Linked DNA regions of Danio rerio. The protein of the gene in region 1 interacts with the protein of each later gene in a pairwise test. Links are inferred from orthologs where the notes say so. Each region holds a gene or a part of one and is shown in the gene's direction. Other genes may lie near its edges.

What was found.
Region 2: the proteins of tmcc2 (region 1) and prpf31 interact in a two-hybrid assay, tested with the Homo sapiens proteins (2 studies listed by BioGRID). The two-hybrid records come from large-scale screens. The link is inferred for Danio rerio from reciprocal best matches to the Homo sapiens genes TMCC2 and PRPF31.
Region 3: the proteins of tmcc2 (region 1) and hspd1 interact in a two-hybrid assay, tested with the Homo sapiens proteins (2 studies listed by BioGRID). The two-hybrid records come from large-scale screens. The link is inferred for Danio rerio from reciprocal best matches to the Homo sapiens genes TMCC2 and HSPD1.
Region 4: the proteins of tmcc2 (region 1) and iqub interact in a two-hybrid assay, tested with the Homo sapiens proteins (2 studies listed by BioGRID and IntAct). The two-hybrid records come from large-scale screens. The link is inferred for Danio rerio from reciprocal best matches to the Homo sapiens genes TMCC2 and IQUB.

The regions. Positions count from the first base shown.
Region 1 is NC_133197.1:615,181-619,999, reverse strand, and holds the start of tmcc2 (transmembrane and coiled-coil domains protein 2), read left to right. Parts: upstream 1-1,854; 5' UTR 1,855-2,034; coding exon 2,035-2,037; intron 2,038-4,819.
Region 2 is NC_133191.1:35,273,625-35,278,324, forward strand, and holds the start of prpf31 (U4/U6 small nuclear ribonucleoprotein Prp31), read left to right. Parts: upstream 1-1,636; 5' UTR 1,637-1,741; intron 1,742-1,846; coding exon 1,847-2,056; intron 2,057-2,147; coding exon 2,148-2,208; intron 2,209-3,182; coding exon 3,183-3,266; intron 3,267-4,700. UniProt on the Homo sapiens protein: Involved in pre-mRNA splicing as component of the spliceosome. Required for the assembly of the U4/U5/U6 tri-snRNP complex, one of the building blocks of the spliceosome.
Region 3 is NC_133184.1:33,974,088-33,978,141, reverse strand, and holds part of hspd1 (60 kDa heat shock protein, mitochondrial), read left to right. Parts: intron 1-140; 5' UTR 141-142; coding exon 143-316; intron 317-429; coding exon 430-765; intron 766-3,042; coding exon 3,043-3,138; intron 3,139-3,230; coding exon 3,231-3,324; intron 3,325-3,405; coding exon 3,406-3,574; intron 3,575-4,054. UniProt on the Homo sapiens protein: Chaperonin implicated in mitochondrial protein import and macromolecular assembly. Together with Hsp10, facilitates the correct folding of imported proteins.
Region 4 is NC_133200.1:30,227,048-30,231,101, forward strand, and holds part of iqub (IQ motif and ubiquitin-like domain-containing protein), read left to right. Parts: intron 1-1,570; coding exon 1,571-1,746; intron 1,747-4,054. UniProt on the Homo sapiens protein: Adapter protein that anchors the radial spoke 1 (RS1) complex to the A microtubule of outer doublet microtubules in axonemes. The triple radial spokes (RS1, RS2 and RS3) are required to modulate beating of the sperm flagellum.

The DNA.
Region 1 (4,819 bases):
AAACTTTGAGTTCCAAGAGAAAAAGTAGGAATTCCAAGAAATGAAGTCAAAAGTTGGAGTTTTGAACTAAAAATTCCAAGAAAAAAGTGAAAATTCCAAGAATCAAACTGAAAATTCCTTAACAATAACAGAATTCCAGGAAAAAAAAGTCAGCATTCCAAGATGCAGAAGAATATCAGAAGAAGAAAAATATCAGAAATCCAAGATGCTAATTCGAAATTCCAAGAAAAATACAAGAATTGTTAGTTTTAAGCATGAAATTCCCAGGAAAAAAGAGAAAACGTGGAAAACCACAACAAAAAAGGCAGTATTCCAAGATGCAAACTCAAAATTCCAAGAAAAGAAGTCAAGATTTGGAGTTTTCAACTCTAAAAACCAAAGGAAAAAAGTGAATATTCCAAGATTCAAACTCAAAATTCCATGAAAAAAACAGAATTCCAGGAAGAAGACAACATTCCAAGATGCAAATTTAGAATTGCAAGAAAAATGTCAGTATTCCACAATGCTAACCTGAAATTCCAAAATAAAATATCAGAATTGTGTTCAAAGCTTGTAACTCCCAGGAAAAAAAAACTCCACGATCCCAGATGGAAACTATTTCAACATATAAACTAAGAATTCCAAGAAAAAAGTACAAATTCCAAGATGCAAACCTAAAAACACCTTGAAAAAAAATCAGAATTCGAAGAAACAGAAAGTATTCCAAGATGCAAATTCAGAGTTCCGGGCCATAAAAAGTTGATGCTTCCAAGACGCAAACCCAGAATGCAAAGATAAAATGTCGAAATTGTGTGAACTTAGAATTCTATGGCAAAAAGTCCCTAATCCAAGATGCAAACTTTGAGTTCCTAGTAGAAATTCAGTAAATCAGAATTCCAAGAAAATAAGTCAAAACTCAAAATTCCCGGGGGGAAAAGGTCAGCATCCCAGGATGCAAATTCAGAATTCCAAGAAAAAAAAGTCCGTATTGTAAGATGCAGACTCGGCATTCAAGGAAACAATGCCGAAATTGTGAGTTTTAAACCCAGAATTCACAAAAAAGTAAATATTCCAAGAGAAAGGTCAGGACTTACAGTTTTAAACCTAGAATTCCCAGGCAAAAGTCGGCATTCCCAGATTTAATTTATAATTCCAAGAAAAAGTAAATTATCCCAAATGCAAACTTAAAATTCCAAGAAAAAAAAAAAGTGGGAATTGTGAAATGAAGCCAGAACAATCCTGACACAGAAACAGTTTTCCAGATCAGGGGCTCTGGAATATTCCTGCAAGCAAGAAGATCTGCAGCATCACACACACACACACACACACACGCGCGTGTGCGGATCATGCCCGTCTGCAGCAGGTGCTGTTCTGCAACACAGTGACCCAGTTGTTGTGAAGCGTGTTGCTATGAGACTGACGTCAGCATTTCCCATCAGCCCCTGCAGTGTGTTTGGGAACAACCCCTTCCACACACACACACACACACACACATTACCATTAATAATGTTTTATTTCTTCGAAAATAAAAATGCACGCACACACACACATACACACACACACACACACACACACACACATTACTATTAATAATGTTTTATTTCTTTGAAAATGAAAATGCACGCACACACACACACACACACACATACAAACACCAATCATGCGTCCTTGAACAAACCCAATAAAGCACACACAGATTATTTCTCTCTCTCTCTCTCTCTCTCTCTCTCTCTCTCTCTCTCTCTCTCTCTCTCTCTCTCTCTCTCTCTCTCTCTCTCTCTGTATGTGTGTGTGTGACGCATGCTCGGCTGAACTCCCCTCCCCCTCAGCTCATCTGCTCCGCAGCCGCGTCGAAACACACAAACACACGTTCAGGAGACGAGAGATCCGCGAGGAACAGACGACGCAGAGATGCGGGAGAGAAAACACAGCTGAAACCCTCTCGGCTGTAAACCATGACCGACAGATAGAGAGAGAGATAGAGGGAGAGAGAGAGAGAGACATGGCCCTCTCAAACATCTCCGCAGTGAAGCTGCACGTCCTGGACTGAAGACCATGGTAAATCAACACAGATTACTCTTCTGTACTGTGTCCATCCATCAGTTCATCCATCCATCAGTTCATCCATCAGTTCATCCATCAGTTCATCCATCCATCCATCCATCCATCCATCCATCCATCCATATGTTCATCCATTCACCATCTCTCTATCTCTTCTGCATGTCAGGAATCAACAGCAGATTTCCCACTGTCATCTCACACACGTCACTGATCTACATGTGTGTGTGTGTGCGTGTGTATGCTGACCCGCAGTGCACTATTCCAACCTACTTTCACAATGCGGCCTGTAGATCACACACACACACACACACGCATACACTCACACACACACACACTCGCGCATGCTCTTAGCAGGTAACATGACTCAGGCTCACATGCATGGAAAGATGATGCTTGTACCGCAGTGACCTGTAGAGGAGCTGTGTGTGTGTGTGTGTGTAGCATACATGTGCAGAAACACACACATAAAACACACATGTTGTTAGTTTTGGTGGTTTATGAGGACTCTCCATAGGCATAGTGTAGCATATACAGTAAAAATATCTTATTGCTTTACCTCATCACTACCCCTAACCCTAACCCTCCTTTGTGACACAGGCATGTTCTCATAAACCCACTTTATGTCGTAAGTCATCATGCCTATGTCACTAGACACAGACATGTCCTTGCAAACCACCAAAACCAGTACACACGCACACACTCACATGCATGCAAAATGTCTGAGGGATGTTCAGTCAGTCATGCATTGTTTTTCAGCTTAGTCCCTTTATTCATCTGGGGTCACCACAGCAGAATGAAACGGCAACTTATCCAGCACGTTTTACACAGCGGATGCTCTTCCCATCTATGGGAAACACCCATACACACTCATTCACACACACTATGGCCAATTTAGTTGATCAACTCCCCTATAGCGCATGTGTTTGGACTGTGGGGAAAACCGGAGCACCCGGAGGAAACCCACGCCAACACGGGGAGAACATGCAAACTCCACACAGAAACACCAACTGACCCAACCGGAACTCGAACCAGCGACCTTCTTGCTGTGAGGCGATCATTCTACCCACTATTTACTATAAATGTGTGTGTGAGGGTCTTTGTGTCATTAATGTTGATCTGCAGATGTAAATGTGTGTGTGAGGGTCTTTGTGTCATTAATGTTGATCTGCAGATATAAATGTGTGTGTGAGGATCTTTGTGTCATTAATGTTGGTCTGCAGATGTAAATGTGTGTGTGAGGGTCTTTGTGTCATTAATGTTGGTCTGCAGATGTAAATGTGTGTGTGAGGGTCTTAGTGTCATTAATGTTGGTGTGCAGATATAAATGTGTGTGTGAGGGTCTTTGCGTCATTAATGTTGGTCTGCAGATGTAAATGTGTGTGTGAGGGTCTTTGTGTCATTAATGTTGGTCTGCAGATGTAAATGTGTGTGTGAGGGTCTTAGTGTCATTAATGTTGGTGTGCAGATATAAATGTGTGTGTGAGGGTCTTTGCGTCATTAATGTTGGTCTGCAGATATAAATGTGTGTGTGAGGGTCTTTGTGTCATTACTGTTGGTCTGCAGATATAAATGTGTGTGTGAGGGTCTTTGTGTCATTAATGTTGGTCTGCAGATATAAATGTGTGTGTGAGGGTCTTTGCGTCATTAATGTTGGTCTGCAGATATAAATGTGTGTGTGAGGGTCTTTGCGTCATTAATGTTGGTCTGCAGATATAAATGTGTGTGTGAGGGTCTTTGTGTCATTAATGTTGGTCTGCAGATATAAATGTGTGTGTGAGGGTCTTTGTGTCATTAATGTTGGTGTGCAGATATAAATGTGTGTGTGAGGGTCTTTGCGTCATTAATGTTGGTCTGCAGATATAAATGTGTGTGTGAGGGTCTTTGCGTCATTAATGTTGGTCTGCAGATATAAATGTGTGTGTGTGAGGGTCTTTGTGTCATTAATGTTGGTCTGCAGATATAAATGTGTGTGTGAGGGTCTTTGTGTCATTAATGTTGGTCTGCAGATATAAATGTGTGTGTGAGGGTCTTTGTGTCAGTAATGTTGGTCTGCAGATATAAATGTGTGTGTGAGGGTCTTTGCGTCATTAATGTTGGTGTGCAGATATAAATGTGTGTGTGAGGGTCTTTGCGTCATTAATGTTGGTCTGCAGATATAAATGTGTGTGTGAGGGTCTTTGTCATTAATGTTGGTCTGCAGATATAAATGTGTGTGTGAGGGTCTTTGCGTCATTAATGTTGGTCTGCAGATATAAATGTGTGTGTGAGGGTCTTTGTGTCATTAATGTTGGTCTGCAGATATAAATGTGTGTGTGAGGGTCTTTGTGTCAGTAATGTTGGTCTGCAGATATAAATGTGTGTGTGAGGGTCTTTGCGTCATTAATGTTGGTGTGCAGATATAAATGTGTGTGTGAGGGTCTTTGCGTCATTAATGTTGGTCTGCAGATATAAATGTGTGTGTGAGGGTCTTTGTCATTAATGTTGGTCTGCAGATATAAATGTGTGTGTGAGGGTCTTTGCGTCATTAATGTTGGTCTGCAGATATAAATGTGTGTGTGAGGGTCTTTGTCATTAATGTTGATCTGCAGATATAAATGTGTGTGTGAGGGTCTTTGTGTCATTAATGTTGGTCTGCAGATATAAATGTGTGTGTGAGGGTCTTTGCGTCATTAATGTTGGTGTGCAGATATAAATGTGTGTGTGAGGGTCTTTGCGTCATTATTGTTGATCTGCAGATATAAATGTGTGTGTGAGGGTCTTTGCGTCATTAATGTTGGTG
Region 2 (4,700 bases), on another chromosome or scaffold:
AGTTGTATTATAACGTTTTTATAATATTATTTAAAATCAAAATATCTATTAAATCTTTTTTTTGAAGCACAATTTAATTCACAATTTATATGCTATGTTCATAACATCTTTATTATTCTGTTATTTATTTTTTACAGACACACACACACACACAAATATTAATATAATAACCAAATAAAAGAATTTAGGTTGATGTCAGGCTTTTCAGCAATGTAATGTAATGTGTATTTGGGAAACTTTTCAACTACGGGCACTTTTAGTCTTGTGAAGTTGAGTAAAAATTAACAAATCCTGGCCTCAAGTTTAAACAATTTGTCTAGTTTTAAGATGTGTAAGAGCACAAACTTAGATAAGAAGAGAGATTGTTTATATTTAACATTTTTTCCATCATAAAATGAGCAAACGTCATTTCCATCACATCTCAATATACAGCTTTTATTTCAAAATGAAATCAATTATGGCAGTAAAAAGTTGTCTGAGATCCTTTTTATATCCAGTTTAACCAATCTTTCCATAATGTGTACAATAATTATACATTTGTCAATTAAATAAATGAGTCTCTTAGGACCAAATGCTGAATTGTACACCTGTCACACTCTAAAATTTAATTTGATTAAAAGCTTATTACAAAATAAATGAATTTGTATTAAATAGAGCATGAGCTCATAAATTGTGAATTCATTTTTAAAGTGTGATAAGAACTTAAATTTTTTTTTTAAATATGTGTGGTGATGGAAATGACAGCTGTGGTGGAAATGACCAAATCAGTGTTAATGTAGAGAAACGTTAGACTAATATTAGAAAAATAATTGAACTCTTAAACTCACACTTTTTAAACTCAGTTTACAAAATTACTAAGTATAACCGCACAGTTTTGCATGTGTAGGGCTGTGATTGATCTAAAAACTGATTTGTCTAGCAGATGAACAGTAACAGTGCACTGTGAATGTCAATATTATTCAAATATTATACAAATTCGTTTTAAAATAAAAGTATTACACATCTACAGTTGGACAATGAGACTGAAAGGCCTGGTTTTAGAGCACAATAATTCATTAGAGCGATGGAGACTATTGGAGCGATATGGCGGAGAGGGTAATGCTGTCACCTCGGCTGGGTCAGTTGGCATTTCTGTGTGGAGTTTACATGTTCTCCCCATGTAGGCGTGGGTTTCCTCTGGGTGCTCCGGTAACGGTTTCCCCCAAATACATGCGGCACAGTTGAATTGGGTAGCCTAACTTGGCTGTAGTGTATGTGTGTGAATGAAAGTGTGTGGGTGTTCCCTGATGTTGGGTTGCGGCTGCGTAAAACATATGCTGGATAAGTTGGTGGTGTGGTGCCACTGTGGTGCCCTCAGATGAATAAAGGGACTATGTCAAAGGAAAAATGAATGAATGAAAGAATGAAGTTTACAAACTTCATTTATTAATTCATTTGCCTTCGACACCATAGTGGAATGAACCTATATACCTTAAACAAATCCATGCATCCAAATTATTGTTAATCATTCAAAATTTAACTTCTTTCATGTCCAAAATGTGTACAAGGAGCAAAAAAAAAACAAATAGGTCATGGACTTTTTTATTTCGAATCTTCCTGAACACATTTCCCAGAAGCCTTTGCTGTGAAACATGTGACGTATTTACTGTGCGACTGCAGATCGTTGTTTGGCGTTTGTAAGTCGTTGCATGTTGGCTTCTGTTCTTTCCATAAAGTGAGAAGAAAACAGGCGGGTTGAGTTGTAAGTTTGGTCTGATTTTACCTTGAACACTTTCTTAAAGATTGCGATTATCAAACAGCAGTGTTTATTGTCTAGTTGTGATTTATTTTCTCACTGTCTTCGTAGATGTCTTTGGCAGACGAGCTGCTTGCGGATTTGGAGGAGGCAGGAGAAGAGGACGGGCTGTATCCCGGCGGAGAAGAGGGAGAGAGTGATGGAGAGCCCGGAGAAAGACAAGTTGATGGAGGACTGGAGGACATCCCGGAGGAGATGGAGGTGGATTACAGCAGCACGGAGAGCGTCACGTCCATAGCTAAACTACGACACAGCAAACCGGTCAGTTTCTGACATCAATAACTCACACACAGCTTCATTTCAGATCTATTTTTAGAACCTAACTTATTGCAGACTTGTTGATATGTTGCAGTTCGCTGAAATCATGGATAAAATCAGTCACTATGTTGGAAATCAACGCAAGAATTCAGAAGGTAACGTTGAGGTTGTTTTTATTCACACATTCAGACTTTGGTGTTCAATAAAATACTAAAGCAGATTTTAAAAGCCTAATACAGACTATTTATAATGACGTAATAATTTAAACACAAAGTAACTACTTGTGACAAGGTCCCTGCATTGTTTGTCACGCTACTTTGGATATTATTTCTGAAATCCAATTCAGGCTAAATATTCAGACTTCAAAACAACATTAGTTCTACTGTTTGACTGCACAATGTTGTATTTTCATAGTCATGGGCTCCTGATATGATTTCTCTATTTAGAATTTGTAAAATACTTCCCTGAAATTGCATTAAGAGGGTGAGAGTCAGAATGTGCAAATATAAAACTAACTTTACATCAATGAAGATAAGTAGTAACTTTTTTTTTTTTTTTTTGTAAAGCGTGCTGGTGAACATTTATTTTAACTTAAAAAATTAAGTCAAAGAATCAGGATCCATATCATTGTGACATAGATGAAAATGATCTAAAATATTGGTCCAGAATTGAGATAATCTAGGTCATCCACAGAACATACAACTCAGATCTGCTGGCTTCAAACCACATCTGGAGCAAGATGAATCTGACCCTGAATACATTTTTGCCAGCTTACTCCTTGATAGGTGAAGACTATGAAGCCCCTTAAACTGTAGAAGACCATGTCTAATACATATAGAGAATACTAATTTTAATTAACGTTGTTTAAAAGGGATGGTGAAATTAGGTATTAAAATCTGCTCACCCTCAATGGTTCAATGAGGTTTTTGTTTTGTTTTATTTTGTTGAATACAAAAAATGTAAATATTTTGATGATAAATTTGAAAACTTTAACCATTAACATCTTTATTAAAAGCAAACACTATGGAAGTCAAGGGTTACAGGTTTTATGTTCAACCAAAGAAATGAATTTAAACAGTTTTAGGCACAAGTGAAACTTTTTTTAACATGGTATTTCCTCTTTTTTCAGTGTCTGGACCGGTTGAAGCAGACCCAGAGTACAGGCTCATTGTTGCCGCCAACAATCTGACGGTGGAAATAGACAACGAGCTTAGTGAGTTCACTGTTTGTTTTATACCTGTGTATTAAATTCACATTATATGAATTGTAACACTAAAGCTATAAAGGCAAATTTCAGATATATTTGCTTAATTATTCATTTTTCCAAATGAGCTTTTACCATGATTCTGACTGTTTTTGCATTTTAATATTCTGAATTTGAAATTCTGTGAAATTCTGCATACATTATTTTTTTACATTGTATTATTATTATTATTATTATAGTTTTTTTCATAAAATGTTATAATGCTTTTGAAGTGGCTCTTGGAGCATAGCAGATGAAGTTAATGTCCTCGTATAGTGAAATGGCAGACAGTGCTTGAGTTTGTCTGTAGTAAAGAAGGCACACCACTGATTTACACACAAAATGCAGACTTTATTACAGTTTTTTACAATTGCTATGACACTTTTATCAATACATTTAACAAGTTTCCTAAACTCTTAACACAGTTAGCACAACATCCGTCTTCGTGGGCTATACAATTAACACATTTATTGTTGTTTTGACACAAAATGCATCCAGTTAACACAAATTTAAAATGCTTTAACTTCTTTTACACACAAGCACAACCAAGAAAACAATGTAATTTTACAGTCAAATTTACAAATGCTTTAACACAGTATGTCAGAACAGATAACACCATGTTCTAAACAGAAATTATATAGGATAAAGTCAAAGTGAACAGCTGTTCTAATTGTGAATTGAAACACAAGTTTATTCCCTTTATTTTATTCAATTGCCAATGAGAAACAGCATATTGCGGTTATATAAATAAATAAATATATATATATATATATATATATATATATATATATATATATATTTATTTATTTTTTAAATATATATATATATAACCGCAATATGAGTCTCTCTCATATATATATATATATGGAGTTCATTAGTACATACAGTACATATACAGTACAGCATTTGCATACACTGTGTCTAATTACTTTCAGAGAGTCATGAAGTTAGAGGCCAATCAAGTACCACATGAAATTTTCAATGTTGACAAGGCTGGGGATGTCGCCGTAGGAAAAACATAATAGGCCAAAGGGCCACAGTTACCGTGCCGGGCCACAGAAGATATCAAGTATAATGTGGATGAGAACTTGTGGCAAAAGACCGGGAAGTATAGAAGATTACTTTGTTATTTTATTATAGTTGTGGTGCTTTTCCTGTTTGCAGTGATGTCCTTCTGCAAAAAAAGTCTGTACTGCAGAAATTCTGTGTCTGTATTTTTTTTACATAAACTGTAAATTTTATAAAGCAATTTTTTTCTTCCTTTCGTATAGAATTTTTGCCGTAAACGAAAGAAAATGCATGCATTTACTTAACCCAACGAAACAAAACTGTAACGAGACTTCAAATATAAGGGCAGAGCTGACACATAAACTAATGGAGTTTCTGTAATGTCAGCTGATGATA
Region 3 (4,054 bases), on another chromosome or scaffold:
TTATACAATTCAATTATAAACATAATTGATCAGAATAAACTGTACATTTTAACAATCAACATTTTAGGATAAAACAGTAATAAAAACAACAACAACAACAACAATAATAATCTTTCTCTCTCTCTCTCACTCTCTGATAGAAATGCTGCGTTTACCCAGTGTCATGAGACAGATGAGGCCTGTGTGCAGGGCTCTGGCCCCTCACCTGACCCGTGCATATGCAAAGGATGTGAAGTTTGGAGCAGATGCCCGGGCCCTCATGCTCCAGGGTGTTGACCTGCTGGCTGATGCAGTGGCCGTCACCATGGGGCCAAAGGTGTGCTGGGATTAATAAGTCGCCAGTCAAACAAAACCACCATCCTTTCTAAATCACGTTTTTAATCATTGATGGAAGAAAAGCTACTAGATTTCCCTCTCTCTGTCTTTCAGGGTCGCACCGTCATCATTGAGCAGAGCTGGGGAAGCCCTAAAGTTACCAAAGATGGGGTCACAGTTGCTAAAAGTATTGATCTGAAGGACAGGTATAAAAATATCGGAGCCAAGCTGGTTCAGGATGTGGCCAACAACACTAATGAGGAGGCTGGAGACGGCACCACCACCGCTACAGTTCTGGCCCGGGCTGTCGCCAAAGAGGGCTTCGACACCATCAGCAAGGGGGCAAACCCAGTTGAGATCCGTAGAGGAGTCATGATGGCCGTAGAAGAGGTCATCAGTGAACTCAAGAAAAACTCAAAGCCCGTCACGACTCCAGAGGAAATCGCTCAGGTAAAAAGTGGCATTAAATGGAAAGTTCTGTAATATAATATCAGCCTCATATTGATCCATTTAAAGTGACACCAGGAAAATTTTTTAAATTTTGATCATGTATTAACACTAAAATTCACATTTAATTGGTGTGTTCGTTTTTGTTTTTAAATATATTTATTATTGAATTTTTTTGCCATGAAAATAGCCTTGGTTGCTGACATGGCATTAAATAAAAAATACACTACATTACATTGATGCAGTTTCTTAATACATCAGATTAAAAGTTAGGTTATAATAAAAGTTTGAGTTTCACCCATTAGTGACAATCTCTTCTTCATTAGCGTTGGACGTTGGGGATTACTCACACTCTGCTATCCGAACCATGCCCATGCCCAGGCACATTTCCCAGTTCATTTGACAAGTGTGAGTGCTGCGAATCGGGCCAAAGTGCGGTTAAGAGGTGTGCCAGAGTGTTGTTTGGTTGGGCTTTGGCACATTACGCTTGTAGTGTATGTATTAAATTAAAATCCGGGTAATTAAGGTCTTAAATTGTCTTTAATTTTACCGTAAAGTGGCTGTAGGTATAAAATTTTCAGCCAGTGTGCTTAATGACGATAGGGAAGCACAGTGGTCCACCGTAAAACATCTAATAGTTGATTAATTTAGCACTTGTAAAACAGGAGAGAAATGACAGTCTCCGTGATTTATTAGCTTATTACGGTGGGTCAGCTACAGAGTACAGACGCTTGCGTCGGTCTGTACCTGCGTGCTGTTATTATGCGGTTGTTGATGTGTCAAAATGCAAAGATGGAAAATTGTACATTTAACGACGTGGCAAAAAGGCAATGTGTGAATTCTGCAAAAAGACCTTTTCGTTAGGGACCATGGGGCTCAAAGTTGTCAAGTCGCACATGAAAGGAGGAAAGCAGCAGCGGGACGTTGCAGCAGCTTGTCATAGCAGGTCCAGGTTAATCCCTGCATTGTTTGCAGCTCGACCTAACAATGTTACTAGTTACTAATGTTAGGCCTATAGCCTATGTTATGAATAAGTAATGTTAACCCTTTTAAACAACTCATTCATAAAAAAAGACAAAAGAGCTGTGTGCCTTTGCACATTTGGATAATGTCGGGCTATAAACGGGTACGGGCTTTTAAAAGCTGTCAATCAAAATGTACTTGTCGGGTTCGGGCTCTATCGGGCCTAGCTTTTATATCCTGATTACAGCTCTAGTTCAGACGCCCCCTCACAGTCAGCTATAACAGTTTAATTTCACCACCTGACACCCAAAAAGCAGGTAGTGTGGGTTATCCATACTGTGACGAGGCACAATTTATTTAAATCTAACGAGAACATTAAAATGAGTAGCCTACTCTGAAGAAATTCTAAAATTTTTGGGTCTTAAATTATATTTGTTGAGGTCTTAAAAAGGTCTTAAAAAGCATAAAATTTTACTTTTAAAACTGTGCAAGAACCCTGTATGCACAATGGTGCGCCTGAGCTCGAAATTAAAGAAATTAAAGATGTGTCACTTTTAGAAGACTGTTTCATATGGATTTGTTAATCATTCTGCAAAATGTTGTAGTTTAATAAAGACTCAAACCTCTCGCTGCTCCTTCAGCAAACCTCCAAATACGTGCAGCACGAGGACTTTATAAGCGTAAAAAGTGGTGGATCTTTTTGGCAAAATAATTGACTGCATGTCACTGCATCCTAAATGGCTAAAACGATATAACTAAAGCAATCTCCACTGTGCTGAGCGAGAGCACTTTTTACATGTTAAACTGAACAGTCGCATCATCAATGACTTAAGCGTTCTCTGGATCAGTAGGTAAAGAAAGATGTATCATGAGTGCAAACTGTCGGGGGAAGGGGGACAACCGCACTTCGACATTTTTCAAGGCAACTGTGCCTAGTGAGAGTGTGCCCTTAGTCTTGTTTTTGAATCTGCCACTATGCTAACACACAGGCATTTGTAGCTTCACCCATTCTCATTTGAATTTTAAGCGACAGTCCACAAAATGACTAGATTAGGATCAAAACCTAAAATGTTATAAAACATTATTTGTAGAGTTTTGAGCTGAAACTTCACATAAACACTCTAGGGATATCAGAGACTTTCTATCTTGTACAAAGAGGCATAAGTCCCCTTTAAGGTATTTCAAAGTTTGTATAGGAAACATCAATACAATTATTATTTTTGTCTTTTTGTTGTCTATGTTAATCTTTTACATATCTTTAAAATGATACAAGTAAATGTGCAATTTATGTATGCTTCCTTGAATCATCCTTTGTAGGTGGCTACTATTTCTGCCAATGGAGACACTGAAGTTGGTAACATCATCTCCAATGCTATGAAGAAAGTCGGTCGTAAGGGTGTCATTACAGTGAAGGTAGGCTACTAAAAAGTAGTGTTTAATCCAGATCAAATTATGTTTTTATCCTTAAAATACCTCACACACGGGATGTAATTATTATTTTTAAGGATGGCAAAACCCTTCATGATGAGCTTGAGATCATTGAGGGCATGAAGTTTGACCGTGGTTACATTTCTCCTTACTTCATCAACACCGCTAAAGGTATCGTATTACTTTTTTGGAGGTCATTTGTTATCAATGTTATTAATGTTGGACTGACTAACGTGTTGATTCTGTCTGCAGGCCAGAAGTGTGAGTTTCAGGATGCATATGTGCTTCTGAGCGAGAAGAAGATCTCCAGTGTTCAGAGTATTGTTCCTGCTCTGGAAATTGCTAACCAGCATCGCAAACCTCTGGTCATCGTGGCGGAAGATGTGGATGGAGAGGCGCTCAGCACTCTGGTCCTCAACAGGTATGTTAAACTATCATCTTCAAGTCTACAACACCAATTCCATGCAAATGTCAACCTTTCCATTAAAAAAATTAAGTTTATCAAAATAGTAAAATGCTTTCTAAGTTTTTTTTTTTTTTGTAAGCAAGTATTTTACAGTATTTTAAAAATACTCAAACATGTCTCTGTCAGAGAGATGGAGATTAACGGTCCATTTATCTATAGTTACCTGATGGTCAGGGACTTTTAGTCTGGACAAACTCCTTTGTATATTTTTAGATGAAGAATATATATATATATATATATATATATATATATATATATATATATATATATATATATATATATATATATATATATATATATATATATATATATATATATATATATATATATATAAATTTTTTTTTTTTTATGAAATTTATTTATTTATTTTTTTTAAAGAACATTTTGTTGAATAAAAAGTGCATGTACACAGCTATATTTAGCTTGCTTTTACAC
Region 4 (4,054 bases), on another chromosome or scaffold:
TGTAAAATGCATGGCGCTGCATGGAGCTACGCGGCGCATTGCCGAGCGGTGCTTCTGGTGTGCAACCTGGTTTAGACTACCAGGAAGCTATTTTGAGCCAAGGCACAATATTCTGATAAAATGGGCCAATATAAACATATGTAACTTCAGCTGAACAGTAAGTTGGCACTATTGTCTTTAGTGTATCACAGAAAAAATGTAAAGATGTAAAGCTGAACAAATATTTCTTTAAACAACTGCAATGCAGTTATGAATGAAATCATTATTGCAAATGATTGCAAGCCTCATCCTGCTGGCCTTTTAAATCAGCTATTTCATTTGGATAAATTTTATACCTTAATGAAAAAAGCAACTTTTCAGTTCTGACATAACATTTATCCTTTCAACAGATGCCATCTAGTTTAAATCATAACAAAAACAGACAGGTGCAACAATTTGGGCACCTCAACAGAATAATGACATCAATGTTTTGTACAGCCACCTTTTGCTGAAATAAAAGCCTGTTGACATTTCTTATAGTCAAGGATAAGTCCCGGAATTCTTGCTGAAGGCATTTTGGACCACTTTTCCTGGAAAAACTTCTCAAGTTCAGTCAGGTTTGATAGGTGCCAAGCATGAAAGGCCCTTTTCAAATCAATCCATAGATTTTTCGATGATGTTCAAGTCTGGGAACTGGGATAGCTCCTCTAGAACATTGTGTCATGTCTGAACATGAATTCCTTAGCAGATCTGGAACTGTGCTTTGAATCATTGTCCTGCTTGAAACATCCAGCCGTGGAGTAACTTCAGCCTCTTGATTGATTTCTGAAAATTATTCTTTAGATTCAGCTGATACTGGGGGAAATCCATGCGACCTTTAACTCTGACAAGGTTTCCAGTACCTGCACATTTTTTCAGTTTCAATTTATTTCACACATTTCAATACTGCTACCCTACATATTTCTGTCGGAAAAACATGACATTATCTAGCTTTCACTAGAAACCGAATGACATTTCACTGTGATCTTCTCTTTAAAGAGCAAATAATTATGCAGCCACAGAGGGGTGACCAAATTTTTGCATAAAACTGTATAGGTGTGTGTTTATGTGCATTGGTGAAATAATTAAAATGGTTGTTAAACATTTTGAATGAAAAAATAGGCCTGCATGAACTTATTTCATCCCCAAAATGTGTATAAACATGTGTGCAGTACAGTTGAAAACTCTTGCTCATATTAGATTAAACAACCATTTTAACCTACCATGGTCGCTTTTAAAATTAAAGTTTATTTTTTTATTAAACTGTTTATTTGAAGAAAAAAAAACATGTCAAAACATTGTTCATAAACCACTGTTTTGTTGGTAAGCTTAAAATTGCTTTGGTACCCTATTGTATCTTATACATGCATCTGATCATTTTTAAGAGTATGTGATACTAATAAAAAGATTGTAGAAGCAACAATGCAAAATCTGTCATTGTGCAAAGACTGAATGAGATTTGATGCTACAAACGTATTTGGCTTATTTTACCAGAATTTTGCTTATTTAAAACCTATAGACAAGCATTTGTGACAAGTTTTCTCACTTTAAGAAGCAGACACATACCAGGATGTGGTGGTAGAGATTGAGAGAGCCACTCAGGGGAAGGCTTTTCTGGGAGGATACCGTCACAAGTTGACCAACGCAGAGTATCACCATGCTGCTATACAGACGGTGCCCAAGAAGAGGCCAGACAGAGGCATTGAGATGTTCAGCAGGGATACACAGGTACACATACTATAACATGCATGATTGTCAAGGATCCTGAAGGAGATCCCAAACACGAAATGTAGGTTAAGGGGGTTTTATTGACAGCAGTGGCAGATTTAGATATGGGCGATCACCCAGGGCGACATCTTACTGGGTGCGAAACAGAGACAGTGAAAAAAAAACGTGCCACAGTAATAGCTTTAAGATATGAATTACTTTATGCAAATGTATTAATTAAGAGTGGTAATCTCGGAATAAAGACAATAGGAGCCATGCCTCAGTAGAGCTTTATGTCCACTTTAAATGGGTACATGACAATATAATTGATGACTTTGCTGCAACAAAAGAAAGGTGCAGATTTAGGGAAATACTAGTCAAATTTCAGTTTGTATGCTGTCTGAATTGTTTGTTTGAGACAATTCGTTTTAGAAAAAAGTCAACTACAAAGTGTCTTCTTTTTTTCTAGGGGGATGTGAGTGTGTGTGTGGGGGGGGGTATATGGGGTGTATAACAGCCACTGATTGACAGATAAAAGGAAAAACAGGAGTTATATGGCAAACAGTCTGAATGACATGGAATACAGTAACAGATGGCTACTGGCTAGGAGACAGAACAGGGATGACCAAGACAGGCTGTAGTTGTCGAAGGCCTTGGATGAGGCACAGCAGAGAACGTTCGAGGTTACTAAAGTAACCCTTCGTTCCCCGAGGAGGGGAACGGAAGCACTATAAGTGGATTTGATTGTAAAATCCACGCATTGGGAGGTTCGGTTCAGAAGCTACTCGTCTGAAAGAGTATTGAACGGGCCAATTAAGAATGAATTGGCAGCGCAAGCCTGCGCAGGTGAGCGGCATAAGCAATCAACTGAGTATATAAGCTCACCTGGCGCCAGCAGACGCTATCCTTTTTAAGCTGAAGAGACTTTCAACAGCTAAGGGACAGTCATTATGGCGACGGAGTATAGTGCTTCCGTTCCCCTCCTCGGGGAACGAAGGGTTACTGTAGTAACCTCGAACGTTCCCCTTCGGGGGGAACTTCAGCACTATAAGTGGATTTGATTGTAAAATCCACGCATTGGGAGCCCATTGAAAGCGCCATAATGACTGCACCTTACCAACACCCCCGATGAGGAGATAGTCAAGCAAGCGTGACGCACCCACATCATGGGGGGCGCGGTCCTCCAACGTGTCCCTGGCCCTAATTTATCCTACTTCAACAGAAGTTTTACGGATTTATATATATTTTTTGGGAAGTCGTGAGCATCTAGATAATTCTAGAAAAATACGACAGTACGTTGGGAAGCGTGCAATCCCGATAGGGAGGACGCTGCGGAGGCCATCCGTTACCCAAGGGGGGATAGATGGCAGAATTTACATATGGACTAGCCCTAAAAAGGGGGAGTACGCATAGCAAAAGAGTGGTTAGCGGGGAGGGAAGACACGGGTCCGCCCAGGGGGGGGGGGGGACTTAACCGTGGCTGAATAAGCATATGGGATCGCCTAGTGGGGACCACGCATAGCAGGCACCTTTACCCAAAACGCGGGCTGACCAGCGGGCAGACCTACAACGTATTGGGCCAGCAAGTGACTCCTCCGCTGAGTCAGTGCTGGGGGCCACGGAGGAATCTGCAGGGCTCACCTGACGGGGAACTTTACTGACAGATAAAAAGGCGCACGTATCTCCGTGTTAGGGAAAATGGCGCAGCAAGCGTGTTTCAACACCCTACCGAATTGTTTCCTCAATCACCAAGGGTTACCTAATACCCTTGAGGAAACCGGCTCCACTCGCAGATTGTAAAACCTTGCAAATGTGTTGGGTGTCACCCAGCCCGCAGCTCTACAGATGTCTGTTAGAGGGGCGCCGTGTGCGCGCGCTCGAGAGGATGCGAAGCTCCGAGCGGAGTGCGCACGCGCTCTCGGGGGACGCGGCTCATCTCGGCTCTGATAGTGAAAGAAAGGCATCCACAATCTAGTGGGAACTTATTTCGGTACGGCACTTCCCTGCTGCCGACCGCTATAACAGACGAAGAGCTGCTCAGATGATCTAAACTCTGAGTGCGGTCCGGATAATACGCAAAACGCGAACTGGACAATAAAGAAGGGCTGGGTCTGCCTCCTCCGAGGGCAGCGCTTGCAGGCTCACTACCTCGTATTAAAACGGAGTGGTAGGAACCTTGGGCACATATCGTGGGCGGGGTCTCAGAACGTGAGAGAAGCCAGCCCAATTACAGGCACGAGTCACTGACCGAAAAATGCCTCCGGGTCCCCGACCCTCTAATCGATATCAACGCGACCAGCAGAGCTGTCTTCAGGGACAGAAATATACT